Linked DNA regions of Schizosaccharomyces pombe. The protein of the gene in region 2 purifies or fractionates together with the protein of the main gene of each other region. This does not show direct contact. Each region holds a gene or a part of one and is shown on either strand. Other genes may lie near its edges.

Region 1 (14,754 bases), on a different chromosome or scaffold from region 2:
AAACTAAAGTTAAGTATCATTAAAATCTATGAAATAGCTTGTAAAAATTTCGTTTAAAGCGCTTAAAATTCCTGTTATGGAGTTTCGATATGATTTTTCAGATTACAAAAAATCAGATTTCGATCCAAAGGCGCAGGCTGAACGAGTGTTAATCTCTGTTCATGCTGACTCCGATGTTAACGAAGACAAAGAAGTCGCCAGAAAGAGGTTGGGGTATGCACTCAAAGAAGTAGAGCGGCAAATTACCGATTTGATTGTGCATGAGGAAACCACGTTGACGAAAAATGTATCTAGTTCTTTGAATGCTCAGTCATATTTGCAAGATATCGAGGGAAAACTAGAACAATTGATGTTGGTTTATGAAAGAATTCGTTCGCTGGTAGTCATTCCATCTGAAAATTTGGGTCCCCTTCATGAGGCAATTGTAAATTTGCATTCAACATACATGACTTTGTATTGGCTTGGGGAGTTTTTTGGCATACAAGCAAAGTTATTTCCCCTTTTCCAGGGATCGATTAATGAAAATGAAAAGTATGCTTATTGTTTTGCTCAATGATTTTGGTATGCTAACAAATTCAAGACTTTCACGCTATTATCAAGCATCTTTACTATTACAAGAGTCTGATCAATTATTAAGCCGGTTTCCATTAATGGTATGAAATATATTTTCTGTTTCTTGGCTAATTATTGTAGAAAAGACAATCGTCCGTTTCTTTACTCTTAAAACTTAATATAACCAATCGATCGAGAATTATAAAAGAAACATCCAGCTATCTATTATCACAAGAAGATCAACTTTCTTTCAGTGTGAACTCTAATGGTTTTACAAATGCTTGCTCTGTTTTATATATGTTAGACAAATATTTGTTAGAACAGGACTTAACTCGTCTTTTAAGTTCTCGTATACAGAAGGCCATTATACAATTCGACTCGATTTTCCAACTGTCCCCCACTACACGAAGACTCCTACATAACAGTACAGATCCTTCAGCGGCAAATTCTACTATATGGTCCAAATTTGAAGACGGGTGGTACCAAATTTCAAAGATTGGTGCACAATGCGTCTTTTGGGAAAGGTCACTTCAAAAGGCTAATATTTGTAATCCAGACTACCCAAATTTATTAGAATATTTTCAAATGCAACCAAATTTTATCCTTGATGGTGCAACTATTTGTATCTATTTTTTCAAAGAGCTGGCAATTTCTATCAGCAGCAAAATGCAAATGCTTGATCGCCGTGATCCAATACTCTTGCGGGTATTCCGAAGCGATTTTCAGCGAGTTACGCATATTGTGGAACAAGCTATTGCCAGGTCATCCTCCGAAATTGTAAATAAAGATACACGGGAATGTTCAATTGTAATGAATAGCCTCCGAGTATTAGCACCAAAAAACCCATAGATTAATAATAATTATAATTTATACATAAAATGCCTCACGCTTAATCGTTTTAGTATTTAAAAAAAAATCGCAAACTTAATCAAGAATGAAATAAACTCCTGATACTACTTAATCTCGCCGAAGATCGCCTGTAACACATTGTAATGCTGCGGGGACCACCTGACCACTTTTGAGAAAAAATAGTTTCATATTGCGAGCCTTATCTTTCAACTGAACTTGATTGCGATATTTCAAAACTTCACTCTTTTTGCCTCCAGGACCATAAAGCTCCAAAATTTGGCTCCACCGGGGACCTTTTACTAAATCAAGACCATCAAGCAATGCTTCCTCTTCCTCTTTTGTCCAAGATCGACGATTGGCTACGCGCCTCGTACGCTTGTTATTTAGGTTATTATTTGTCATATGTCGAACCTGATCATAAAGAACGACACTGGATACATTTTGTGTTTCCGAGGAGCCGTCAAAAGTTGAAGATGGTATACCAAATGCGAGACTATCGGTCAGGTCTGAACCAGATTCTGAAGGGGATGATTCGGCTTCGCCAGCCTTAAACCTCAATCCGTTCTTCTTGGATCGTCGTTTGAATGAGTTAGCAGGAATTGGAATGGCCGAAATAGACGAGTAATTGTTATGGATGTAACAAGCAATCTCGCTTAAAAATTTCCCCCATGGATATACTTCATTTAAAGCTTCCTGTGGGGAGAAGTTTGCCAATCTTTCTTTTCTAGCCGTACATTTCTCTATGATTTGCTTTTCAACATAAGTAAGTTTGTCATCCAGCTTAGCATTTCGTCGGATAAGAAATCGATGGGCCATGTCAGAGGGAAAAAGATCGTTTAATATGTCTCCCTTGGGACGTTCTGCCTGAGCCATAGCCGAAATATATGCTTGGGTTTTGAGTTCCATATAAAGAGTGCCCTGATTAGTGAGGATATTAGATTCGTCCGGAGCAAAAACCTCCAGAAAATTTTCATTCAAATGAAAAAATCCAATTTGTAGCGCTCCATAGACAGCTGCCAGAAAGATAGCAAGATTTGCGCGTCTAGTCGTACTTCTTTGACTCGGCGTCCTCATACCAATGGCAGAGGAATAAATAAAAGATTCTTCAGTATAAATGTCCTTTACCATACGAAACATATTCATTACTTTGGTAAAGGCCATACCCATTTCGGAGGCTGGATTAGTGACAATGGCAGATGCCTCTTGTACTGGCTTCCCAAGAATTGACAAAATTATGTTACTAAGGTTACCAAGAGTAGGAATAAGAGATGTACGAAGAAGTTGCTGAGGTGTAGCAATAGGATTAGGTTGGTTGAAAGCGTAATCCATGCCTTGATTCATGCGTAAATAAAAGTCCGGCGTCATATTAAATTGAATTCCGGAAAGATCAAACCCTAAAGGAATTTCTGCATTTGGTGCAACATTTTGAGGCTCGAGTTCAGAATTTTGTTCTGATAATTGTTGTAACATTTGGCGATCTTGTTCGAGGGCAGTTGATTCTGGATCAATCGCTAAGCGTTTTTGACCCTTAAAATCATCACTAGGGTCTAAGGATCGTTTTGACATTTTCTTGGAAATCGTAGTTTTTCAATTGATCAAAGAAAATACAAACTATAGGTGAGAAGCAGTCTGATTAATCGATTGCTAAACAAATCCAAGGAGCAACGATATCCAGTGACTACCGAATAGTAAATCTTGCATCAAAAGTTCCAATTCTTCTTTACTACAAGGTTTTTTAAAATATATCCTTCCAATGCAGGCAAAGTAACAACCAAATGCGAGTTTTCAGGTATTTGTGTGTCAATTGATTAGGACAGCGTATATTTAATTGACTCGTAATAAAAAATCTCTTGCATATTTCACTTCATTGGCGTTCGTTATTTTTATTAACGAATTCCAATAAGCCAGATGTGTTAAATACCATTATATCGTTGTATTTCTTTACTAATTTTATCAACATTTCATTCCTTTGTAGAAGCGATATCTGGACATTATTAACTAATGAATAAGCTGTAACTACTACTAGTAGTTCCTACATATTAGATACAAAATCCGTCTAAATTGGCAAAACTTTTTAAAAAAAAAGACCAAGTCTGTATTGCATCTATTTCTCTATTTCTCAATTGCCTTCTTGTATTTTTCGTTAGCTGTGTAAAATGCAGTGGCGCTTGTTTAATTTACGAGATAGAATTCTGTGCTAAATTAGTTCAAAATGAATAAATACGGTTAATGACAAAGAATTATACGATATAGACTTATTTAACAACTGGGAAATTCCTGTTGAACATATATGCTTGCAATATTAAAATTCAAAACAATCGTATACCACGAATTGATGCCACCAAGGTCTGTTTCATTGAAAGATGGAATGTAAAACGTAGTTCGAAAAAGTTGCATATTTCATCACAAGTGCTTACCAGCCAAAAAAAATTCAGTCTATCAGTTTCATAAGAAATTTCAACAGAACAATCTTGTGTGTCAAATTTTTATTCAGATACGTATTTCTTATTCATGCCAAGTATCACTGTAGTAGCTGGGAAATTTAGATGGTCCTAATCCCTAGAGATTCTCCTTATTCACATCCTCTTACATCAGTATCCAAACTATCCATAAGGCAACAAGTGATGAGTACTATTACCTTTTAGTAGTAGTATTTTTACATTAGAAAGGCCTCAAATTTTTATATATTGGGTTAAATTGTACAGTCCGCAAATAATTTAATTACATTTATTTCGCTAACATAACCCGTATAAGCACGTTTCATATTCTTGACATTATTGTGTAGCCTCAGGAATCGCTTCCAACGTTTATTATCATGGATTTTTTTTGGGAACGAATGTTAAATGATCCTCAAAACCATTTCAGTGATGACCAAAAGGAATTTCTAAATCATGCAAAATACCGTGTCAAAAGAAATACGATTTTTGGGATGCTAGTCGGGTTTTCTCTCCCATTATACTTAGGTATGAGATTTCGAACAAGCAATTGAAAATAACTTTCTTATTTTTTAGCTCGTAACAAAAAGGTTACTCCAATCCGCTTGTATGCAACATCAATTATAGGAGGTCTTGCTGGAAATGGGGTAAGTTTTAAGTAATACTAAGCTCAAGCTTACAAATTATGAATAGGTTGCTCAGATTACTACTCTGGCATACAATTTGTCGGCTATACGTCAAAGAGATGATGGCTTTGAAATACTTCGCAAAATACAAGACTCCCTTATTCGACAAAGAACAACGATGCGACAAGGCAGATTTCCTTCTTCATCTTCTGAATTCCCTCCAAAAAACTCAAAATATCAATTACCTGGAAGTATGCCGAATACTGGTGCCTCTTCTAGTCAAGATCCCTTTACGAATTCACAGAGTACGGAGAAAGAGGACGCCATGTACTCTAAAGACAATGGCTTTGAAGATCGATCAAAGCCAGCGTCAGCATGGGAAGCTATTCGTAACCGTAATCGAAATACCGGTAACAATTCTTTTCCATTTTACGAAGAAGACTCGAGTGTTAAATCCACAGATAGTGCTTTTAGTGGACAAGAAAATTCTGAAGCATTTCCTTCCCGAACTTCTAATCTAGGCTCTGAACAGTTGGATGAACCTATTTCTCACGAACAGGAGGCATTTGATCAATTGATCTGGAATGATTCATCGTCTTCCAAATAATTTCCTTTATCTCTACATGTTACGATAATTTAAAATTAATTTTTACCAATTTGAGTGTCACTGAATTTATGATGTAAAGTAGTTAAATTTAGTAGATATTTCTTTTTTTCTATACTGCATTGCCAGATTGATGTAGCTTGCTTGAGCAAGCAACTTATGTATGTTCATGCATAAATTTCGATACATTTCAGTCTTTCAAAAAGAGATAAATTTAAATTCATATTTATGATATACATCTATACGTGATAGGTTTTAATAGCTAGTCTTGAAGATTGATGTGAAATAAAATAGGGATAGATTTACTGGTATAGCAAACCAAATAACAACTTTAAAATTCAGATATAAAAAAAGAACGCAAAGTAAAAATATATATAAAACGCCATGAATCAGTCTGCGTCGAACCAACCCAATCTACTGTCATGAGTATTGTTGTATGCAGTGCCGCCCACCTAGCTACCACCAACTTCTCATTACCATAAACCCATAAAATGTCATTTTTTGGGTTTAATACTACCCTTCCAAAGGAAAATATGTTTCCTAACGAAGGGCAGTTAGAAGAGGATGGGTAAGTCGTTAATATTAATGTAAATATGATACTTTAAGCTCACAAGTATATTTAGCATTGACTTTGAGGAGACCTACGACGATTTGGGTAATCAATTAAATGAAGCCGGAGATGAACTAAACGACGAGACTTTTGGTGTTAGCGCTGGAAGTATAGGTATGTACCTTTGTGCTTGTGATTCTGTAATCATTCTCGGCTGTCATATCTGGGATATTGCAAGCTATTAGTATTTAATATTTTAATATTTTTTCTCACAATTCTAGGACGTGATTTTGATTTTTCAGGTACTACCGCTCAAGCATCTGCACAATTGGAAGATGAGCAGTACCAAATTAATCAACAAAATATTTTCGCTAAACCTGTCAAACCAGCTTCTTCAGAGTTACCTCAAGTTAGTAGACTTAATGGTGCTTCACAATTTCCTTCACGGGAACCTGCGTCTACTGCGATCAATAAGCTTTCCGATTTGCAGCCTATGGCTTCGATTTGGGAAAATATTGTTCCAGAAAAGCCGGCTATTATTCCACCTGAGGTAGCCTCTCTTCAAGATCGTTTGGGTGCCCAACCATCTGAGAAGGTTTTTAGCTTGCAGGAGTTGGAGGAACAGTTATTGAACTCAATGACCGCTCCAAAACCACCTTCTCAACCCGCTATTCCCATTGTTCCATCCGAAATGGCTGCTCAAGTAACTCGAGAAAACATCTCTTCATTGGACCCGGCGATTAGTGCGGCTAGTATTGGTAATGTTACTTTTGGTCAACCAAACATCCCTAGCACTACAACTGATTTTGCTGGATTAGCTGCTCCTAATATGGTACATCCTTCGCAAGCTATACCCAATCCTGTTATGCAACCTTCCCTTGTACCTCAAATGCCATATCCTCAAAACGGCATGTACAACCCAAGTGTTGCTCCTCCTGCTTCCCTTGTTAATCTTTTCCAGCAGGAACAATTAATTCAAAACCAGAACCTTGATGAAAAACGTCAAAAGTTAGAGCGTGATCATATGCTCATGGCTCAATGTGCTGGGTTAATGACACGCAGTGATAAATCGTTTATTGCGAGAATTCAAATATCGCAATTGATGTCGGAGGATCCCGAATCTGATGATTTTTATTATCGCGTTTACTCAATTATTCGAGGCCGCAAGCCTTCCGAGGAAGAAGCCAGTCATTTTATACAGACTTATCTAGGACCTAGCAATAATCGCCGTCGTGGTCGTCGCTCCGAAAATCCTATGCAGAAATTACAACAGCAACTTCAGCGTTTGGTTTCTTCTGCCAAAGAGCGCCCTAAGGCAACTCAGTTGTCTTTAGAAGGTGCTCTTGGTAAAATTGCTGTTAATACTGTTCGCACACCACGACAATTGTTGAATGTTAAACGTCCTACCGAACCAGCATCTTCAAATTCATCATTAAACAATTTTTCTGGATTTTCTACGAAGAAGGATGTATTGCACGCTATTGAGAAAGTTTATGACTTGTTGCTTGACTTTGAGCAAGCCCTCCGTAAAGCCTCAACGCTAGAAACTACCGATCAGGAGCAAATAGATACATGGAAAACTACTTTAAGCGAGAAATTGGAGTCCATTTGGAAGGCATTATACATAAATGAATCATTGGAAGCATCTTCTAAGACTAGGCCTCCATTCATTTCTATAATTTCTCACCCCAAAGGAATGAGGCTGCTACCTCGCTTGTTCCCACATTTGTCCAAAGAGCAACAAATTTCGATTTTAAAGGTCGTAGTTTACAATTTTGATTCTCTTGATATAGTCCTTAGGGGAACATTTGACGTTAACGGTGAGCTGCCTTTGGACGTTGTTTCCGAAATGAGTTCTTTCACGCAGTTCATCATCCCTCCATTGCTCACTATTGTTAATGAACTTGATTTGGAAACTATAAATAACTTATTTTCTCAACTTCTCAATCGCACTAATGCTGTTTATTTAATACAGACGAAGATTGGTTTGTCGTTCCTTACTCTATTCATTAGTCGCGCAGAAATTTTAAAGCAATCTGGCACTGTAAATCAAAATGAAAAAGAAGAATGGTACGTTATACATGTATTTACAGCATCTAACTATTTAGGGAAAATACATTCAATGTTATGTTTAATCGCGTAAAAGGTCATTTCTCGACGGTATTCCCACCACCTAACGCTCGAGCTTATGCTGATGAATCTTATCCATGGGAATTCTTAGCAGCTTGTGCTACTGCTGCTAGCTCTGAACAACATTTTACATTGGTTTCTGAAACTAGGTACGTTAAAATATGTCTAGTCGAGTTTTTGTACTAACAAATATGTAAAAAATAGGGACAGAGTACTTGATAACATCATTACTAGCAAACGGGCACCTTCTGAAATTGCTGTTGTGCGCATCAGCAATGTTAATTTGTTTTTAAATGCAATGGGGCTCGACGCTCGTCAGCTCAGCGCTTAAGTTTGTTTATAAGATATGCGGGTATTTTTTTTTTCAAAAGCTATATTTGCTGAGATTCCTGGATTCAGATTTATTAATTAGAGTATTCCCTGCTACTTAAAAAATGCATACGCTCTAATATAGATTTAAGTAAATTATGTCCTTTTTGAAAACGCTGAATATGAAATAAAATGTATTGAACGAGAAAGAAATTAATATAAAAAACGATAAGTATATAGACAAAAAGTTTATAGCACATATTTAATAGATTTGTGCATCAATAATACTAGCTGCCATTTTGATTCGTAGTTCAGGCATATCATTTTGACTAAACTGAACAGGAACATTTCTAGATACACATTCAGCAGTTTTACAAGCAAAAACTCCACAATCATGTCCATTTCGTTGTCTTGGAGAATTGTCATCCATAAAATTTTCCCAATCTGACACGTCGACGGCACCTTTTGTTTCTGCAATATAATAGTCGCGCAACAAATCAAAAACTTTACCAGGGCTTCCGGCCAGCGAGTCCCAGTATTCAAATCGTTTCTTCGATTTGTTAATAACAGCCATACACCAGTGGACATCCAGATGTACTGGTATAAATACAGCATCCATATCTGCAATATTAACGCGTGCCTTTTTGGCCCATCTTCGAACACCCGCGTATCCACGGCGCTGCAAAGATGTATAAAAAAAAGTATTAAACCCATGTACCCGAGGTAAGGATGAATCAATTTTAGAGCGTTCCGAAATCAAATTCATGTAAAAATTAATTACCTCGTCATTTAACCATTGTCTATTCCGCAGAGTATGCAAGTCTTTAAGCGTGATTGGAATATTAAATTTGGTGATGATGGGTTCAGAAGAGGAAACAGAATTGCTTTGGTTTAAATATTTCAGTGCACGCTTTCGAGCATTATCAGGAAACTCAAGTTCCGGAATGAACTTGGGGCGAGTGGGGGGTGGAGATATTTCCAAACCTTTTAATTGTAAAAAGTCAACTTCGTTCCAATCTTGAAAAGATTCTGTTTGCTTTTCTTTCAAATCTCGAATTAGCAACAGTAATGATTTTTCATTTTGGATATCAGAAGTAACGATATTCCGCGCTGGTTGCTGATCAGATTGAACGAACCTAAAAGAGGCTTTCCGAGACGTTGAATCATGAGGACTTTTCTTTCTTAACGTAGCCGTAAAAGGAAGGTGTTTATATCTGGCGTGTTCGCTAACAACATCTAGCTGCTTGTCCGGTGTAACAATGTCAGAGTTTGGATTTGGAGAGGAGTTCGTAAAGTGCAGAGGAGAAGAAGAGAAAGGTGTAGGATTAAAAGAGTTTATTTCGTCAGCCTCAACGGAATTACCGTGGGATAATGTCGATGAAGTTGTTTCCTTAAAAACCGCAAGCTGTAACCGATTACTAACAGATAAATTTTTGGAAGACCGATGAGGTCGGGGGAAGTATCTCGAACGAGACACACGAAAGCTTGATGGAGATAATGCTTCGTCATGGATGTTTTGAGAATGCGTGTCAGAGGCAGGGGAAAATAGATTTTGAAGAGCAATGGGATCCAAAAATTTTTCATCCTTACTAGAATTTGTATATGAATGAGAAACGGTAGGTTTACTATTTCTGTCAAGAGTATTGTGAGAAGACATATCAGATTCGACCGTCACGTAACCACGTTCAGTCTTGGAATTTATGTGAGAAAACCGAGATTCAGGGGCTTTAGTAGAAGGCTCTAGTTTTGAATTTGTACTATTACTATTAGATGGTATCGCCTCGCCAGCGATGCGATCCAATTCAGAAATGGGAGTTTTTGTCAAAAAAAGTTTTGCATAAGTAACTGTACGAGAACAAATATTAACAAACGTGTTCAAAAATGTCTTTTTACGTTTCCTTTGATACTCTTCATATGTAATACAATCATCCTGACGCGTCCTTTTTGACGCATTGCGTTTTCCTATCATTCACGAGTGAATTGTAAAGGGTGAATCGCGAGAGGCTGTGACACACAACAACCTGGAAGGATGAGCGCGTTCTTGCTTACGTTGTGAAAATACCTCGTTATACGAGTATTGCGGTATTTACTGTAAACAAACTACTTTTTGTGTTTATATTACAATGTTTGGCTTTCGAGCCGCTAGCTTTGCTTGTAAGATTTTAAATTATGTTGCTTAACATGTAAGTGTCCGTTTATCTTTAGGGCCTACTGTGTTTGATTTCATTACACTAAAATCCTACTTCAATGTGGGCTATCACTACTTTTAGCCGTGAGAAGCTTACAAGTATATTAATGTAAATTAAATATCATATTGCTTTTATAAAATATACATTCATGACAGTACACTGTGTTACTCTTTTAAGCGTTTAATAAGTAAGTGGTAGCGTATCGCTACTAGTAAATTGTTTTAAGTTCTGATATATGCCCTGAAAATGAAAAGATAAATCGGAAAATGTGAGTTAGTTTTATACAAACCATTTAACACTTCCTGAAGGGATCTTTGAATGAACAGAAAGCCCTATATTCAGGTTATCCTTCAAACAATCATTATTTCCTAGATAGAAAAGAGTCGTACATCAGCAATGAATTTCCTCAATTATCGCCGGGGTTTTTTATCATACTACGGCTCATATAACTATCAAAAATTAGCATTACCAGTTGCTCTTGATTCTTGTTTTTCTCGATTTTGAATTTTTTGTTATGCATTGTCTGTTAACTATGCGTGAAATATCTGTTCTTTTAGAGATTCGTTTGATTTTTAGTAAAATAGTATTTACTTGCTTTATTTCCCTTTCTTCTGCTGCTCAATAATCTGATATCTTGCTATATTGTTTTCGTTTGAATTCAGTCTCTCTTCTATATTTCGTATATGTATGTTGCGATCAATCGTGTGTTATGGTTTCAAAAATTCAAAAATTCAAAAAAAAAGCCTTCTGCTGTAAGAATAAACATATTTTAGGCTTTCGTAAGTGAATTTTAAGTTGAAAATACCAATTTCAAAATTAGGCTATTAAAGTCATTTTAGTTTTTACTATTGTAATCAAAATGGAACTTTTTTACAACAGATACTAGCTTTAGATGCTTGGCTATCAATTGTAGGCTTTTGATTTTAATTCTATGGAATGGAAACAAAAGTACATTTTTTGGCCTAAAATTAGATTTTTATATAATAAAATATTATTAATTTCATTGCTATAAAAAGTCACTTAGCAGTGTTTAAGCGAGTGCTTAAAAGATTTTATTTAGCTATCTAGATCTGACATTGCTGCACTGAACCAACCTGTCTACCATTTGGTAGATTCAACTTCCCATAACCAGCACCAAGCCAGAGGAACTCACTAAATGTAAGAGCATGACATCCCCGTGTACGCTAATACGGCAATTTTCTCCTTTGGAGATACGTCCGTTACCACATTTGGATTTCCAAGCTGGATTTAATGGGATACCAACTTCAGCTCCAAGGTTGGTTGGTATCGTCCAAGTTCGAAGTAAAGAAATTCACCAACCTTTGGCTTTGGTTCAAATAACGTTAGAATTATGGAAAATTGAATCAGTGGTAATACCATCCTTGGGTATAAGTAATCACTTATCAGATAATAAGTGTCTGGCAAGGCAGGTTTTGTTTCCACTTCATTCCGAGCATCCTGAAAATAACATACCTCCTAATGATAATAATTATTCTATCAGCGATTTGTCTATCAAATCACCTCCACCCTCCCTTACTAGCGATTGGATAGTAGATTCTTATGCGTCTGATCAGGATAATCCTTCTGTTCATACTCATAACCGTACTACTCCACCTATCCCTCCACCTCATCTTCCTAATGCCTCTGGATCTTCGGTATATCAACCTCCTTACACTCCGTTTAGATCAGTATCCACCACATCTTCCTCTAATGACACATCTATCACTCCTTTTGGTGACCAAACTCCTATACTCTCTTCTTCTTCAGATCCTTACGCTACTCATAGGGTATGGTCAATGGACCTTCCCTTTGAAATCCCGTTTCCCGAAAATTCAGAAATTCCATCGACTTTTGAATTGAATCGGTCTGGTACAATATGCTCCACGAAATATGAACTACGTGCTCACATGAGTTTACTAGGGGTACCGGATATTACTACCACTGTACCAGTGTCACTCAGCAGGTATGATAATCTATCTTCTTGGGGGATGTATAATTCCCCTACTAATATTCGGCAAGTGAGTAGCGATGGTCGTGTTGTAGTAGAGGTATCAATACCCAAACTGTGTATTGGACCTTCGGATCTCGTCTCCGTCTTCGTTTCCATCATGCCTAATAATGGTTCTAAAATACGAGTACAGCAACTTTCTCTTTCCTTGGTTGAATACATCACGTTCATACATCCCTCTTCTTCAAGCCCAATAGTTCGTAAAAAGAAAGTATTACGTTACGAAGAAGATTTGGATGATATGAAACTTACATCGGAAGGTTTATCGAAAAGCCTTTCTAAACCTTTCCCCGACATTGATTTTGAAGATGCAAATATCACTGGATTCACGACCACCTCTGATCTTTACTCTGTACAATACATGCTAGTCATCAAAGTACAATTATATCGTGCTAGAAACATTGAAATAACAAACCCAATTATTGTTTCCCCAGTGGAACGATCACGAAGTCAAGCCTTACTTAATGAAATTCAAACCCGAGTCCTTGACGTTCGCCAAAGCCACGGAGGCGTTGTCCTCGAAGAAAACGTTAGGATTGTGCGAGCTTCAGATTTTTCCAAAAATAATATGTTTGCTTATTTGAATGATGACATTGTCCTGTTATCTTAGGAAGTTACATTTTTCAAGCTCAATCTGTGCTTTACTACAAATGTAAATCCCGATATTGTTGATCATAAGCCTTACCTCTGTATTTCCCTGTGTTTTTCGATATTTGCAAGCCTTTGGTTTGCAATTAAATACCCACTTTGTTTATTTATTTGTCCCTCGTTTTTTTGTTTGGTTTCAAAAGCTATGAGTAAAAATAATGGTCTTCTTGTTTTTGTTTTGTTTTAAAAAGTATTCCTGTTCTTCGACATCAAATCAATTTCTATTGAATATGTCTTCATTGTTTTATTTATTCACTAGATTTAGCAAGTGGGACTTTTGGTCACTATTTGGTTGCTTTTTTGTACAACTGACTATTTATTTTAAATTGTGTCAACAGTTTAAATCTCACTTTATTCAGAGTAGGTTTTAGTTTAATAAAAACAGCTTTAAACCTGCTTATATAATGTACTACTTTCCTTTTTTATGTGGTTTGAATATCACATCGGCTGCACTTATGTCGGCGTTTCCACTTTCATGTATGTGGCTTTGAAAGTAAAGATGTAGTAAGCATTTAAATCTGAGTAAGGCTTAATATATATAACGATTGCATTTTGTTATCTAATAGCCCAGTATACGGTTACACTCTTAAATCAGTTACAATTTTATTAGATATTAAGCTCATTGTGAGTAAAATTTTTCCACACCTCTTCCTTAAGTTTGTATAATCCATTCTTATAGTAGTATAACCAGAAGTAAAAGTTTAAAATATTAGCAATTAAATTTCTTTTGAGGAATGAAAATACGAGATCATTATCAAAGCGTTTAATACCCACTTAACTTTCCATCCACAAAATATACGTTTCAATCCAGGTATTAATATCTATATATTATTGACTACTTTATCAGGAAAAAAGATCAAACATCTTTAATTTTTGAGATTTCAGAAGCTACTGTACCTTATGCTAAACAAATGTTCTGGCTCTTTAACACTTTTAGCTGTTAGAAGATTTTGTGGTCCTTGCCGACGTTTACATTATCATAAAGATAACCCTAATAACATTAATATTGCTAAAAATCTCCTGAACAATAATATACAAGCTAGATGCTCAACAAATGAGGCATCTTGGAAGTTGGCACAGAAAGAATTAGATCTGAAAATACGTGAATACGAACAAAAGTTAAAGGATGTTAAGCTAAATGACATAAACAAAAAGGTAAAATATTTATTAAATAAAGGGTTTGAGTACAAAATAACACTGCTAAAAGATACTGTCTTGTTTACTAACGTTAGCATAGTCTCCCCTTAACATTCCTGATGAAGTTTGGACTAAATTTATATCAGAAGTTAACTCTTATGATAAGGAAAAAGAAAATCATTTATCTACAGGTAACCACGAATTGAGGAGAACAACTCCATTGAAAATTGGACCACTTCTACTTACGAGAATCGGGCTATTGAAATCTAAGAACACAGCCAGCAATAATTATTCAGTCGATCATATTGTTTCAAATCTAGCTAATGACAATACGTTGTTAAATCGTCAGGTTTCTACCGAAGAATGGAACAGTCATCTTCGCCATCTCTTAAACATTCCTAAATGCTTTTTAGGGGTTGATATTGTAGAAATAGTCAACTTTTTTAACTATCTTCCTCAAACTGTTATTTCAAAAAGTTCCCTAGAAATTTGGAAAGCTGTTGAAGAAAGTGGTATGAAAGTTATGCCTGATTTGCTTGTCTTGCTTATGGAATCCACCAACGCATCTGGCGATTTCCGTAAGACTGTCCAATTGTATCATTTGTATCAAAAATCAAATGCTCCTCCGAATGGTTTGGTGTATCAATCATATGCTATTGCACTTTCTTCCCTTGGTAAACACAAGGATTTAGTTGCACTCTATTCAGAACAAAAATC
Region 2 (16,585 bases):
TTTTTAATATTCATATGCATTTTTTTTATTAACTTATCTCTTTTTCATATTACTTCTTTTTTCTAAAATTGCTTGGCTTTTGAATGTTTATGTCACCATCAATCTCACTCACTAGTAAGATTTTCTAATATCTACCAAAATTTATGGGAATCTTGAAAAACTGACTTTTAAAATTTCCATTCTTCAATAAACACTTTTACTAAAGCATCAGTTCAGCTACCCTTGTAAATGCCCAACCCATCTCTTTTCCGTCTTTTGTTTACTTTTGGGAATGCGTTACTTATCTGAGTAGCATGTGCTTTTTGTGGTAAAATTGGTTCAATTTAATTGGTAAAAAAAATAAAAAAATAACAATGTCACTTGGTTGGGCCAGTATAGGTAACGTAAATTTGTTGAACCGGAAAACGGAATGGAAAACAAAGTATGAAGAACTGAGGCAGTTGCAGGTATTTGTTTTGCAAATGTTAATAAATGAATTTTTTAAAGACATACTTTCACGGAAGGTGGAAAATTGAGAATCCACCTTTCGCCATTGATCTTATGATGAGGACCAATCGTGAAAACTAGTAGTCTATAATCGATCAAAATAATTGCGCACACACGTATCGTACAGCAGATGCTTTGCACGATCGCACATAGTCGTGCGAAAAAATAAGAAGAATAAGAAGAGCTTTTTGTAAAAGTTAGGAGTTCAGAGGGCTCCAAGATTTCACATTTTGGATGTGCTTTGGGCATCCATGGGTCAATACGTTTGTTTGACGATTGAGTAGAATGTAACTTGTTTGTTTACTTGCAGTGATTAGTTTTTTTTTGTGACCTGCCTTTCTTCAGTTCCATCGGAACGGACTAGTAAAAAAAAAAAAAAAAGAGGATGGCAAGATGCCGGGAAGGGCTGGTTATGTCAAATTATACACATATGGGATTTAAAATTTAGAAATTATAATTTTTAGAATATTTTAAAAAATATTTTAAAATTCAAACTCAAATATTTATTGTGTACATGTGTTGATTTCCTTGTCTTCTCAGCGGAGAATGGATCTAACCGGAGCACACATGTTGAAAATTCACCGACCCAGCATTGACCATCCATTTGGAGTGGACCTATGGTAAGCAAAGCGTAATTATGCATTAAAACTAACTTTGGAATAGGCATTTGTTTGAGCAACTGAGCATCAAAACTATAGGATGGAATCCCTCTGAATTTGAGTACATCCCGGGTAAAACTCCCATGTCTCAGTGGTCGAGCGTAATTGTATCCATTACCGCTTACTATGTTATCATTTTGAGTGGTCGAGCGATCATGACAAATCGCAAACCTTTGAAACAACGTCGTCTTTTTCAACTTCACAACTTCATTTTGACTATCATCAGTGGAGCTTTGCTTGCTTTGTTGGTAGAAGAGGTTTTTCGCAACTACATGCGTAACGGTCTCTTCTACTGCGTTTGCGATTCTCGTCATTTTACGCAGAGATTGGTTACCTTGTACTACCTCAATTACTTGACCAAGTACTTGGAGTTGATGGATACGGTGTTCTTGTTTTTGAAGAAGAAACCCCTTGCCTTTCTCCATTGCTACCACCATGGTATTACGGCTCTCTTGTGCTTTACTCAACTTCTCGGTCGCACCTCCGTCCAGTGGGGTGTTATTGGCTTGAACTTGTACGTTCATGTTATCATGTACAGTTACTACTTCCTTGCTGCTTGCGGCCGTAGAGTTTGGTGGAAGCAATGGGTTACCCGTGTTCAAATCATTCAGTTCGTCCTTGATCTCATCCTCTGCTACTTTGGTACCTACTCCCACATTGCTTTCCGTTACTTCCCTTGGCTTCCCCATGTCGGTGATTGTTCTGGTTCTCTCTTTGCCGCCTTCTTTGGTTGCGGTGTTCTTTCGTCCTATTTATTCCTCTTCATTGGTTTTTACATTAATACCTACATCAAGCGCGGTGCCAAAAAAAATCAAAGGAAAGCCGCCGGTAAGGCAGATAACACCTCTGTTGCTGCCGCTGCTGGCTCTGAAGCTTTAGCCGCTACCACTGCTACTAATGCTTCTCCCTTTTCTGCTCGCTCAAGGAAACTCTAATGGAGAGGAATGTGTACGGCGTGCAGACCCTTGTTTAGCTTTCTTTTGTATTTTCAAACTTTCTTAAGCGTAGTCCAATTTCATGGTACCGTCGTCATCTTTTTCACAAGGAAAAAAACTCAAAAGACGATACTTTGGGATTGAAATTGGAAAATATCATTTTTTCCAGCCATCTAAAAGTTCCTTGCTTTTGGTTTTTTTTATTTTACTCTTATGCACGGCTCTTCTAGGGTCGTCATTTCTTCTTTCTTTTTTACTTTCAGTTTTTTTTCTTTAAAAATTTAGATGGCGGATTTATTTCTTTGCTTGAAACGGTGGGAATGCATGGGTTTCAGCGTATGTCTGCTTCTGTTTAATATTTCTCTAATTCCTGAGACATAAATTGCAATTGGTTTATGGGGTGCTTTTTATCTTAATTTAGTTATTGCAAGCATCGATTTGTTACCCGTATGTCTATGGTCTTAATAGTATTTAAGACATCCTTTTAAAGAAAAATAGAAAGCGGGTTAAAATAGTCGTTTGCTTCTTTATGTGCCTTCGTTCTTCATTTCCCTTTTCTTTTGTGTATATTGGGTGACATTTCGACATCTTCAAGTTTCTGCGTTCTCTCTTTCTATTTACCATTCGATAATTAGGGATGCGTCGCGTTTCGAGTTCTTTTCCTTTCTGCCAAATATTTCCATTCTTTTTAACATCTTTTGTCTAGTTCGTGTGGTTTGCGTCTAGTTCAAAGTAATAATTTCTTGTTTCTAAAACAACCCCAATCTACTTGAACAAAAGTTAGTAAAGTTTGGACGGATATTTCAAGCTCGATGGAACGCTCCTTTTTCTACGTGTTCCTTTTTTCCTAACTTTCTACAAAGTTTTCTCATATTCTTTTACTTGTGAGTTTGATAGGCATTTACCTTAATGTACATATTATTATCGTCTATCATGTATTAATTGCTCGCGTAAACTTTGGTTTGTTGTTTCAGTGGATCAGAATGAGTTGAATGGCATTTGAAGGATGATCATTATATAAATATAGATATATATACTTATGTATGTGCTTTCAACAACTATTTGTGCATGTATTGAACCGACTTTGTATGGTCGTTTTTGAAGTGTTTTAGTTTTAAATTCTTGCTTTTAGTCATTGTGGAGATATAAGATTTGCATTTTTGTGTTTGACAATTTGAATTGAAATGTAAGTATAAAACATTTATTATTGGATTGTACGTCCAGTTATTGATTTTCATTTTCAAAGCAGGCGCACAGCAAACTTAACTGTTTGTTCTTGAGTTGTTACCAATTTTCATTAAGATAATTTAGTAGATTTTTTAATAATGTCTAGTGATTGTCGTAATAATATTTTGCAGAATTTGGTGTATAGTAACTTTTGGGTCCATTGCTTTCTGTGCGTATCATACCTTCAAGTTGGTGATACCTTACTATAAGCCATCACACTTTGGTACCAAAAAGTTTGTTAATTTACCAGAATTCAAAGGATTGATGAAGGTTAACGACTTCTTTTATTAATTTTTTATCCAAAGCTAAGCAATTTTTGAAATTATTTGCAGTTAAATCTATATATTGAATCATTCGTAAACGAGTTTGGAGAACTCATTTTGGAAAAGAGCAAGCATACAGCATGAATCCATACAGACCATATGTCGTGGTTAACAATGTTGAGCCTACTTTTTCGATAACTCCAGAACCAACGTTTGAGACGCAACCGACCATAAGCAAGAGTGAGATTTTTGAGACACTCAGAAGTATTCTAGTGACCAAATATTTAACGACGTTTTTTGTACAGCCATTGGAAGTAGCAAAAACTGTCTGTCAAGTAGAAGAATATTTACCAAAACGAACTAAAATTGAGCGTGATGGGAAACAAACAAAGGAGCCTTATGATGAGGATATTCCCGATGGCACAGAACAGGAAGGTCTCAGTGATGATGAACACGAAATCTATGCTTACTTTGAAACACCTACCACAGAAAAGGCAGTAACAGAACAGCTAGCTGAGAAACTTTGCGTCGATGCGTCTGGCTATGTAACTGATCCTTCGAATCTCATCGAGAGAAGCTATACAATTCATTCGAAAAGATTTTCGATTAAAAGTATCATTAGTGAGCTATGGGAGAAAGAAGGAGCTAGGGGTTTATGGAAAGGTCATACAATCAGCTTTTTGCATAACTTACTTTATTCCGGCCTACAGTCCTGGCTTTCGGCAACATTATCTGGAGCTCTCGCAATAGCAGATCCAAACATTATTTCACCTATAGATTCTGTTCGGCCTCTTCTTTCCCTTTTCATCAAATCCATTACTTCTGCGATCTCTGCTCTTATTCTATCTCCCCTTGATATTGCCAGAACAAAAATAATTCTTTTCCCCATTTCCTCATCTTCCTATTTGTCTTCAGCTTCTGAAACTTCTGGCAATTCGCATAAAAAATTTAAACCTCTTACTATCAGACAATGCTTGAAAGCATTGCCTTTTTACTGCCCTTCATCGTTAATTTTACCCACAGTTTGTTATGTCAGCTTACCACCATTTGTTTCGAGTGTGCTTCCACTAACATTCCGCAACTTTTTGGGCTCATCTCCTACACTTGATGCAATGGTTGGCTTGGGCACTTCAGCCGTTCAATTTCTTCTCAAATGCCCTTTAGAAATGGTACTTCGAAGAGCACAAGCCCAGTATGAATGCAACCTTCCACCCCAAACTATCGTTCCCGTAGGCAAATACACTGGTATCGTCGGTACCATATGGTGTCTTTTAAGCGAAGAAGATCCGGGTAAATTTGGAATAGAAGGTTTGTATCGTGGATGGCGAGTGGGTATTTGGGGAATGTCGAGTACCTTAGCATTGAACTACATCTCCTCTAATTTGCGTGAAGAAGTTGAATTTTAGTATTCAGGTTTTGGGTCTGATTGTCTGTTTATTAGACAAAGTCAGAAGAGACGAAAGTTCACATGGTAAATTACGGAATTCTCAAAAAGGTTTTAGTTAGGTGATGTTTTGTAATTTGGAATTTTTTTTATTCCAAATTACTACACGAATAGTCATATTTGTAGTTGTAAGTTTGATTTATGTTTAATGTTTTCGTTTTTCTTTCTTACCGTATTCTCTAACGGAATAGTAGTAGCTACATAATTTATTAAAGGTAATAATACATTTTCTAGAAGCAAAAACGTAGTTATGTGAAAATACGTTGGTGTTTCCTTTAGCAAGGTTGCATAACGCCAGCATTCAATAAAAAGGACTTCAACGTCGCATTGAGATCTCTTACACGAGACTTCATAGTGTTATTCAAGTATAGCTGCTCGTTCAATTTATAAACAGTATAAAAAATGAGGCAACCCAAATCCTTACAATGCTTTAATTTTCTAATTTACAACACTGCACGGAAAGTTGAATCTCTAAAGACTTTATGCTTTTTTATTACTTTTTTATATAGTTTGAATTGCAATCAATAACAACTGGCGCCATCATTTTGCTATCTAACACGTTGAATTACGGGCCATGTCATGTCAAAAACCCTTCTTGCTTTTCAAAAAAAAAAAAAAGAAAAAAAAGGAATTAAGTAAACTTCTCAAGTAACAGGGATAAATAACATCCACAATTAAGTCAATAGTAAAAGATACCAAATATATAATTCCTTTCATATTTTAAAGTTCTAAGCTTAAATACGTTTTTGCTGAAGAATATCATAGTTCTTCCTCCTCCATAGTAGGCATATCGACAGGTTTGATCATACCAGGAACAGTCATAGCTTTCTCCAGTTGGGCTTTTTGTTGAGCAGCCAACTCTTGTTCTTTCTCCTCCAAGTAAAGTTCAGCGTTATCCCCGCCGAATTCTTTCAATTGAATTAAAAAGTCACGTAAAGCAAGTTTAAATTTGATGCTGTCCTGATTAAGAGCTAGCACTGTCTGTACAAATTCTTGGATTTGGATAGGTTGAAGATGGGGGAAAGCTGTGACTAGTAGATTCATGATATACTGTCTTAAAAATAATTGATTGTTCATTTCCTGGGGGAATTGAGAAGGATCGTAGAGAGGTACAGTAATCTGGTTTGATTCAACCAGATAGAAAAGCCGAGCCAAAATTAAGCTTTGAAGCTTAAAGCCAGATTTGTGATCAGAGTCAGTCAAAACATACAATATATCTTGTAGTAAGCTAATATAATAAGTTTGGAAAAATGCATTTGAAACATCAGGTCCCATACTCGCCATGTTATTAATAAGTTCAAGTAAGATGTTAAGTCCGGTTTCTTGAATGTCGCGACTAACATGCTTAAAGGACCATACAATACTATTGATCACTAGTTTGAATTGTGGTGCCGGGATGTTGAGCAAAGCGGGGAAACAATTCAAGTTAATGGCGCGTAAAAGTTGAAAAAATGCTGCACGATGTTCGGGGTATTCCGAAAAATCTTTACTAATCATTTCAAGGGTGCATCCAAAAACAGCATCAAGAACAAGAGGAATCTTATCAGTAAGGAGTTCGCTAAGTTGATTGACAATGGTGGTTATCAAATTAAGAACTTCGGCATCACGAGCGTCAGGAACATTTTGTAAATAATCAAGCAACACTGCTTCGAAAAGCGCAGGAATGAGAGTATTTCCGACCAACTCCAAATCTTCCGCTCGACTTATATAAGCATCTACTAATTTCAAAATTTCTTTTTTGATAGTTCGTAATCCCCTGACGTGGGGAGTTTTGGTAGCAATATTTCCTTGGGCAGCAACCACTTCTGATATTAAACCGCTAACAGCCTTGTAAAGACCAAGCATATCTACATAATTTTTAGCAATTTGAGGATAGAAACCGGAACCAATAGAAGTACATGCAGCAACGTTTGTCTTTAGAACATTTGCTAATATTTTAACGGTCTGAGGGTCCCCTAAAACTTGAGCGTTTTGTGCAGCCTGAGCGACAATATTTTCCCAGGCCTGATTGGGTAACGCCATAAGGTCAAAAATGAGACGTTCTTGAAGATGTTTTTGAGGTTGAGCAGAAATCATATAACCGCACGCCTCATAAAAAGTATGAGTCTGTTGAGGAGTTAAATCTTCAGTCGTCTTGGCCAAGTTACGAATAATTTCGTTGATAAACGGCTCCGTTTCTCCCAGTTGTTGAGCAACAAAATGGCGACGACATTTTTGAGCAATCTTAATGAATGTATCACAAGCCATATCCTGAACACCTTCATGATATTCGTGCATAAACTCAAATAGCTTATTGACGACGGTCTTGAGAAATTTCCAATGAGCTTTTAAAAAGCGAGGATATTGACCTACAACGTACATAATGTTAGAGGCAACAACAGCCTTATTATCTTTGCCACGTTTCATTTCACAAAGGCCCAATAAATCTTTAATCACGTTAACAAGAAAGCGCTTTTCCATTTCTTCATTCATAGCACCGGATATTGAGCCGATTGCCCAACAAAGAGTATTCAAATTTTGCCAAGACCATTCTGTACCAACAACAATACGTGCAAGTTTTTCAGTCATAACGATTTCAGTATCAACCACGTCCAAGTGAGTGAGGTACACAAGAACCTCACGCATAGATTTATAAAGGGTAATTGTATCCGTCTCTTTAACAAATTCACGAACAATTTCACCTTCGTCATTTTCGACGATGAGGACTTCTTCGGGCTTGACCATGTTTTCAATCATAACCAATCGAAGAGTTGAAAGTATATCTTTATAGATATGTTTCCTTAAAGGAAGATTGGCTAACATATTAGGATTAGAAGAAATGAGAGATGTAGGACTAGAAAGATTAAGTAATGGATTCATTTCAGACATGGGGATTTGCTGCATTTCTTCATAAAGCTGAGCTACTAATTTTGACCAATATTCCAGGCAGATCTTGAAAATTTCTCGCTCGTTAATTCGCGAGATATTAAGAAGGTAGGAATGAGCATTAAGAAGGACTTCTTGATTTTCAGGATTTTCTAATGGTCGAAGATGAGAGCTAAAGAAAGCGCAAAGGAAGAGAGCCAAATTTTGGATAAAGTCTTGCTCGTTTGTGCTACTTTCTTCATAAGCCTCACGAAAATCAGTTTGTAAAGGAAGCATAGAATTAACAGAGGTCATCACAAGGTTAAACATTGTAACAAATTTATCGTTGTACTGAGGTTGAGAAGTAAGACTAGCTATTTCGGTAAGACATTCAATGGTAACGTTTCTAAAATCAGGAACATTTAGGAATCGATTTGTAATTAACTCAACAATGTTTGTTTCAAATATATAGCCAAGGGGTATCCAATTCAAAAATCGGAGAAGTGTTCCCAAGGTAGCCTTGATTAGGCTAGGTTTTTGCGCACGTTCGAGAATTTGTGAGCATAGTTGAAAAATCTCGGCGAATTCGCCACACATTTGGTTTTTTAAATTTTTGGTTTTGAGCTGAGTCATTTGCTCAGCTGAGTAATCAAAAATTTCTTCACTCAGAAGACGAAGGACTATCATGTTATTTTCACAAAGTGAAAGGTTTGTTTTACTGGCTTGGACAATTTCCGGGATGAAGTTGGGCCAATTATGAGGCCATTCTTGTTTAAGAATCTGAACGAGAGTGAGGTCCAATTTATTAAGAAAAGTTTTTTGTTGTTGCAGGACAGTTTCGTCTGACGAGTTCTTTATCATAACAGCAACAATATAATTGCGAATTCCCAATCGCTGCTCCTTGGGAAGCATTTTCCAACGAGTGGTGATAAGCTTGTCAAGGACGGAAAGAGCGATATATTTAGTTTGGGGATATTCTGATTTTTCCAAGATGGAGTAAGCCTGCGACCATGCATCTGGATGTGCCTGAAATTGGGTCAGGACTTGTTGAGCCTGTTGTTGCTCTGCACCGACACCTTGGTAAAAGGTTTGGACAACACGATCCAAAAGGGCAACGTCTAATTCGCGATCGAATGCCAGGATGCCCTCCATATTTACAAATCAAAAAGCAAAAAATGTAAATTGATGGTTGGCAACGTATTGAACAAATGTCTTAAGTAAAAAGAAAAGGATAATTACCTCAACCTTATGCGATTGTATATGTATAAAGGACTTCAGCAATCAAGTTAGAAATTTGAAAAAAAAAATAAAAAAAAGTAGAAGAAAAATTAATTTTATCGAATAGAAACAAAATAATATAAATTTTTAATCTCCTACTTGCTGATTAATTACTCCTCCCTTGCAAAAATAATAGAGAAAAAACAATAATTAACTCAAACAAGAGATCGAAGAACAGGAAATCGAAAGATAACAAGATCCTTCCTAAAAGAAGACCAAGGAAAATAACACGTATCTACACGAGCGTTCAAAGTGCTTACCTCCTTACTATAAATAAAAACCAAATAAATATTCCAAATTCTCTTGTTTATAACGAAATTCCTCGTCCCAAGAGATGCTTCACGCGATAGAAATTTGTCTTGTACTCAATGGAAACAAGAGAATGAAAGAATGTATACAGTTAAAGGCTACTGCCTAACGTCCCAGGGTAGAAATGCAAAAGAACAAGTGTTGTGTTGGAGGTAAAAGGTGTGGCCGCAAGGCTGGCAAAGAAACACGAAGAAGAATAGCAAGCATGCAGCGTATCCAATCGTTTTGCGTTATCTATTTTAAGGAAATTTAACAACGTGATTATAGGCAGAAATTGATGGGAATGAAGTAAACATAAAATGGAACGAGAATGATGGCGATAAAACTGAGTGTATCAGCAGATTGCAATTTTTTAAAAAAATGGTATTAGTTTTGAAACAAAATTTACTTCCTCCGGTAAGACGTTCGGTCGTTTCCGTGAATGGGAGAAATGCGGTAAGAATTTGATCGTAACGTCCGCGTTTAAACCAGAAATAAATGTGTCGTACGTGGATTTTTCTGTTTGTTTGTTTTGAAGTATTTAGCAAAGACAGGTCATTTGAAAAACATCAATTTATTTTTTTAAATTTTTTTATTATGAATTATTAGGTATTTTATGGTTTAATTATCAATTTACAAGTCAACGAGTAAATCAAAACAGAAGGAAAGTTTATCATTCAGTAAATTAAAAATTGTTATGAATTTAAAAAAATTGAATTACAGCTAGAATCATGTTTCCAAATTATTTTAACCAAGTTTATGGAACATCGGCACGAAATAATATACTTATTACTAAAGATTTGCCATTTCATTGTGCTTTAGTAATTCGCCTTTTTTGCTTTAACTCCTATAGCCACACAACAAAGATGTTGCTTATGTAAATAAAGGCGACTTTCCGTATGAAATGCTTCGCGGTTACAGCCACAATTCTATATGGAAATAGAAAAGAATGAAAATTGAATTAAACTGATCATGTTCGTTATTAACTCGCAGTTACCCGACATTTAGTGTGTTAAATAAAGAAAAGGGAAGGAAAAAAAAATCATTAAACCAAATATTGACCTTTGGAGTTGGCATGGCTCTCAAGGTATAAAAAATCCAATGCATTTTTTTTAACTAATTTATACGATTTTAGTCAGGTTGTGTACATATACTCTAATAAACCCAGACAATTTACAGTACACGCAACTATTTTTATAGATATATACCTCTATTTAATTAGTTTGTACAATTAAGCGGCTATGCCCGAGTGGTCTAAGGGGGCAGATTTAAGAGGCTTCTGCCTTGATCCCTGCTGTTGTAAAACGCGAGAGTTCGAACCTCTCTGGCCGCATTATATTTTACATTTTTAAATGTAAAATTAACGTGTTTTTGATTTACAGTTGAACTAAATTTTTTTCAAATTTGTTGAACATTTTGCTTTTGTTTATTCTTTTTTTTTCTTCTTTTTCATTATTCTTATCTGCAACATTTCCTTATCAAGCACGAAGAAAATTTGAATTGATAGGCGCTTTCATCCGACCAGCACTGTCCTAAATATCGCATTTGTTTGCCAAAGCCCGTATATAAATTATGTATTTCGGTGACTTTTTGTAATACCGGTTTCTGCTTTTCTGTGATATGTTGAAGTAATAACATTTGTAGAAGTATTTATATAGACCATTTCTTACTTAATTCCCTGTAACAATTGTTGGATTCAATTCTGTGTTTTCCAATTACTCTGTTCTCACGGCTAATATTAATTTTATTACACATATATTCAGCAAAAAACAAAAACAAAACAAAATTAAATTAAGCATAGCATCAAGTGTGTGCCAAAAAATCGTCGTTTTCTATTTATTTTTTACTATTTTGTTTTGATATTCTATAAAGGTCAATTGCCAAGATACTCCCAGCTCTTCGTCTTTGCTTGCACATTATTCAAAACTCTGTGCATTCTATTGTTTGTATTTCAGTTAGTATTGTTATTGCTATCGATTTTCCCATCTAATTTTCAAAACAAATTAACACTGATTCTATCGGCCCTATTTACCCACCACTGCATATTTTTAAAATTCCTTAAATTCTTTTTCCTGGCTACTAATACGCCTAATAAATATTAAAGATAAAGAATTCCCTTTTAGATATTAGTTCTTGCTTTCTTTTTTTATACAAAATTTCTGTTTTTTTTTTCGAAACTCTTCTGTAACAACAATGACTGCTACATCTTTTCTTCACCAGGCAAAACAGCAACCCCATCATACTGAACCTTACATTAAAGCGCTTGAGGCTCGTGAATACATCATTGAACAAGTCCCCGAAGAGCTTTCCAAGCCCAAAGTTGCCATCATTTGCGGTAGCGGTTTGGGCACATTAGCCTCTGGATTGTCGGCTCCAGTTTATGAAGTTCCTTATGAAGATATTCCTCACTTTCATGTTTCCCATGTTCCAGGTCACGCATCCAAATTGTACTTTGCCTTTTTGGGCGAGAAACGCGTTCCCACTATGATTTTGGCTGGTCGTTACCACTCTTATGAGGGATATCCTATAGAAGCTACCACGTTTCCTGTTCGTCTTATGAAAGTCATGGGCGTTGAAGTCATGGTTGTTACCAACGCAGCTGGCGGCTTGAATCAAGGTTTCAAAGTTGGTGATTTGATGATTCTTAAAGATCACATCAATTTTCCTGGCCTCGCGGGCATGAACCCTCTCAGAGGCCCTAATGCACACGAATTTGGTGTACGTTTCCCCCCATTATCGGATGCTTATGATTTAGAATTACGAAAATTGGTTTACGATGCTGCCAAGGCTCACAAGGTTAGCCGTACAATTCACGAAGGTTGTTATGCATTTGTATCTGGTCCGTGTTTTGAGACTCGCGCTGAAAGTCGAATGCTTGCTCTTATGGGAGCTGATTGTGTCGGCATGTCTACGGTTCCCGAAGTAGTCGTTGCGCGTCATTGTGGTATTCGTGTTCTTGCCATTTCTTTGGTTACCAACAACGTTGTTGTTGAAGAGAGCCCCTCTGCCAAAGACTTAGTGGAGGTTGATTCGAATGTCATGTCTAAGGGTGCTGCAAATCACTTGGAGGTTTTGGAAGTTGGTATCGCTGCCGCGGCCGATGTTCGTACCATGGTGGAGACGATTGTCAATTTTATTTAATCACTCCTCTTTGACAATCTTTTTTATCCAGAATAAAAATTTCCTTTATCTGTTATACATCCTTTTAAGCTATTTTATTTATCTAACGTAGGATATATATCCTAGTCATTTCGCTTATTTTGATGTCTGTAAATTAGATGTTTTGTTGCCATTCAATATCTTTTCCAAAATATCCTTTTACTCATCAATAACCGTTTCTTGCTTTCTTTAAACGAACTCACTAGACAATATTTCCTAAATGTCGTTTGTGTTATTTTCCAAACACCAATTAGGAAATATTTGTTTTTAGTATACAAAGTTCCCTGGTCACCTCTAGACTTATTTTTTTATAGTTAATGATACATTTCGCTTCAAATTTCTTAAATTATTAATTTAGAGTCATATTGCCTTAAAACTTTTTGATAATAAACCTGTTGCTTTCTTATTGTAACGATATCCTTCTACCACTATCGCAATACCCTTTCAAAAAAATAACGCGGTCCAAAAACATTTCGCTAATCAAATTTATGGTAGTTTACCAATCTCTCTTGGATCCGTAATTGTTTCATCTTTTTCCACCATATTATTGAAAGCAAGTTTTCTTCGAATTGCTCGCAAAATTCAGTCCTTTTTTTACATTTTATGTATTAAGATTTGGTCTTGCATTAAGAAGATTAAAAGACCAATTAATATAACCTGCATTCGAAGGAATTGGTTTTCTTGGGTATAAAACACTCTATGAATGGAAAATATTCGCTTTGAAGTCCAATTGACAATCCTTCACGTGGAAGGATTATGGAAGAATGGGCTTTTACGATCTTTAAAGCCTTACCTGCTTATTAGTGTCGATGATGACCAGTTTATCAAGACGAATGTTGCTAGTGGCACACTTCGTCTTTCATGGGGCTTTACTCAAAAATTGTAAGCTATAATTACTTTTAAAAATTCCCTTTGTTTCTAATGATTTATTTCTTTTAGAACTGTGTCTCCTCAAAGCATAATACTTTTACAATTGTTCGACGAAAAACAAAAAAATGAAACATCTGATGGATTTGTCGGTTTGGGGGCAGCAGTGGTAAATTCGTTCCTGCCTTTTAATAACCCAAAGGATGGTAAGTTTTTTTTTTTTGCTATAAGCTAGTTTTTCTATGATTTATTATGCTTGCCAGTTTGTTTACTTACATGAACTAATTCTTTTTTCTAAAAGACTACAAAACACGTATTACTTTAAGATCTCCATCAGGATCTTATCGAGGCTCCGTAGTTTGTTTATTTAAACGGTCTAAGTTTTTACCAGAAGAACTTCCTGCTGATAAATCGCAAATTTGTACCGACATTATTGATGATGCTAGTGGATGCGCTTGGGAAACAAGAATTGATGAGTTTGGGCATGTTTATTATTTAAAATCTCCTCAGCTATCGGTGATATCAGCCATTTCTCATGAGAAGCTTGAAAATTTGACTCCTAAACAGCTGAAAGAAGTTTTTTCTCAGTTTCTTTTTAATAATCAATCGAAATCTTCTTTAAAAATTAATCTGGAATACAAAGTAATCAAACATTTATTGGAACACTACCCTTTGGCTTTGTCTGTTCGCCAGCAAGTGGCCGTCGAAAAGGGACCGCTTCCAGCCGGGTGGGAGATGCGTTTAAGTGAAGACTATCATGTTTATTTTGTGGATCATTCTACTAAAACGACTACATGGAGTGATCCCAGAGATAATGTTGTGGCTTCTGACAGCGTGTCTGAAAATACAGATTCAATCCAACAAATCAACGATGAATATCAAAGAAAAATCGCTTACATGTATGACCGGCCTGAAATGGCCGTTAATGATGCTCAACTTCAGCTAAAGGTTAGCAGAGCCACTACATTTGAAGACGCGTACGATATAATATCAAAGTTATCCGTTAGCGATATGAAAAAGAAGCTCCTAATTCGATTCCGTAATGAAGACGGTTTGGATTATGGAGGGGTTTCTAGGGAGTTCTTTTATATTTTGTCTCATGCAATATTCAATCCTGGGTATTCCTTGTTTGAATATGCTACAGACGATAACTATGGTCTTCAAATTAGCCCCTTATCTTCTGTGAATCCAGATTTTCGTTCCTACTTTCGGTTTGTTGGCAGAGTTATGGGATTGGCTATATATCATCGTCGATATTTGGATGTTCAATTTGTATTACCTTTTTATAAACGGATCCTCCAAAAGCCATTGTGCCTCGAGGACGTAAAGGATGTTGATGAAGTTTATTATGAAAGCTTGAAATGGATTAAGAACAATGATGTTGATGAATCTCTGTGCCTAAACTTTAGCGTTGAGGAAAACCGATTTGGTGAATCTGTGACGGTCGATTTAATTCCAAATGGCCGTAATATTGCAGTCAATAATCAGAATAAAATGAATTATCTTAAAGCTCTTACGGAGCATAAACTTGTCACCAGTACTGAAGAGCAATTTAATGCTTTGAAAGGTGGATTGAATGAATTAATACCTGATTCGGTTTTGCAAATATTTAATGAAAACGAACTTGATACATTACTTAACGGAAAAAGGGATATCGACGTTCAAGATTGGAAGCGTTTTACAGACTATAGGTCTTATACTGAGACTGATGACATTGTAATTTGGTTTTGGGAGCTACTGAGTGAGTGGTCTCCGGAAAAAAAGGCGAAGCTTCTGCAATTTGCTACTGGTACCTCCAGGCTTCCTTTATCCGGGTTCAAGGACATGCATGGTAGTGATGGCCCACGAAAGTTTACAATCGAGAAAGTAGGGCATATCTCTCAGCTTCCAAAAGCTCATACTTGGTATGTTAAAATTTTTTAAGTACTGTTACTAATTTGAACAGCTTCAATCGTTTAGATATTCCGCCTTATAATTCCAAAGAAGAACTAGAACAAAAACTCACAATTGCTATTCAAGAAACTGCAGGATTTGGTACGGAGTAAAGGGGGTGTGTATTAATGGGGACGTGGTGTAGAGGAAATGTACAATTTTACTTAATTATTTCTTTGAATGCTTTTGCGAATATTTGTAAAATAGTTTTTTATTAAACGAACGTTGTTTATGTAATCAATAATATGTTTTGCTAAACTAATAAGTTACACAATAAAGAATTAAACTAGATCAAACAAAGTGTGCTTTTATCTTTTTTTTCTCAAGGGAATCATTGATCTTGAATTGCCAGATGCTTGTTTTTCGGAGATGTCAAAGTCAACGTTAGTGTCTGTCAAACTACAATCTCCCGATTGGCCATTTTCCAAAATCTCTGATAATTTTCGTTTTGTAGATCGTAGATTAGAGGTGGCTACAGTTTTCGTAGTCTCCAAAAATGAGACGAACTGTGAGGCATCTGCTACCTGTTCCTGCAAACTGTTGTCGTCTACATCGTTTGTAGGCTCGTTAGCGTTTTCTGCCGATACAAATGAATGCAATAAATGTGAATCAACCGTGTCATCATGGTGGTCCGTAGAATGGTTGGTATGTCTTTGGGAGAGATTTTTGAGACGAGCAAATGTATCGTCAAGATCAGTGTACGATTCATCGGTTTCCGCGGTTTCCATGTTGTAATGTAATAAACCATTTTTAATTCCATTACCTTCCACAATAAAAGGAGCTAAAGAAGCGTTTGATACAAGCGAAGGATGGTCAGGCTTGCCCGAATGCTGGTGGTTAAATTTTGATATCTCTGAAAGATCACAGAAATGATGATCTAACAAATCTATATGATCTTCCGTATAGTCACTGTTTTCATAATTGAGATGAACTTCTGGAGCATTGGTTTGGATTTCTGAAGCAAAATTATCTTCAGGCTCCACCGTCGAATAGCCCGGTGCCGAACCCTGCATTAAGTTAACATCATGATTAAACTGTGAATCTTTGGGTTCGACAAATTCTTCAGTTATGGAAGCGGGAGAAGCATAATTGACAAATGTGTTATCTTGATTGAAAGAAAATGATTCACCAAGTTGAGATTCTGATTTATTTTCATTAGACAAATCTTCTTCCTCTTCACTAATAGCTTCATCACTTTCAATT

What was found.
Region 1: the proteins of crm1 (region 2) and pdc2 purify together in Schizosaccharomyces pombe (affinity purification with western blotting, with the first as the bait; one study listed by BioGRID). This does not show direct contact.

What each region holds. Positions count from the first base shown.
Region 1 is NC_003423.3:2,362,387-2,377,140, reverse strand, and holds pdc2 (topoisomerase II-associated deadenylation-dependent mRNA-decapping factor), read left to right. Parts: upstream 1-5,527; 5' UTR 5,528-5,557; coding exon 5,558-5,634; exon of another isoform or gene 5,635-5,689; coding exon 5,690-5,790; exon of another isoform or gene 5,791-5,897; coding exon 5,898-7,686; intron 7,687-7,724; coding exon 7,725-7,895; intron 7,896-7,947; exon of another isoform or gene 7,948-7,950; coding exon 7,951-8,077; 3' UTR 8,078-8,306; downstream 8,307-14,754. Other genes in the region: COG complex subunit Cog5, read left to right, coding at 77-531, 581-653, 694-1,401; tbf1 (DNA-binding factor Trf1), read right to left, coding at 1,510-2,967; SPOM_SPBC19G7.18C (uncharacterized protein), read left to right, coding at 4,217-4,364, 4,413-4,483, 4,530-5,069; SUMO deconjugating enzyme Ulp1, read right to left, coding at 8,318-10,024; arrestin-related substrate adaptor for RhoGEF, Art1, read left to right, coding at 11,411-12,862; PPR repeat-containing protein Ppr3, read left to right, coding at 13,801-14,055, 14,138-14,754. UniProt on the Schizosaccharomyces pombe protein: Activator of decapping that functions as a general and active mechanism of translational repression and required for P-body formation. Stabilizes the 3' terminus of mRNAs and modulates the rates of mRNA-decapping that occur following deadenylation.
Region 2 is NC_003424.3:2,796,933-2,813,517, reverse strand, and holds crm1 (karyopherin/importin beta family nuclear export signal receptor Crm1), read right to left. Parts: upstream 9,595-16,585; 5' UTR 9,397-9,594; intron 9,131-9,396; 5' UTR 9,011-9,130; coding exon 5,774-9,010; 3' UTR 5,265-5,773; downstream 1-5,264. Other genes in the region: SPOM_SPAC1B2.06 (uncharacterized protein), read right to left, coding at 481-735; elo2 (putative GNS1/SUR4 family protein), read left to right, coding at 1,054-1,106, 1,150-2,080; transport protein Ugo1, read left to right, coding at 3,711-4,976; SPOM_SPAC1805.16C (purine nucleoside phosphorylase), read left to right, coding at 11,618-12,565; HECT-type ubiquitin-protein ligase E3 Pub2, read left to right, coding at 13,287-13,465, 13,523-13,656, 13,752-15,354, 15,396-15,495; SPOM_SPAC1805.14 (uncharacterized protein), read right to left, coding at 15,691-16,585.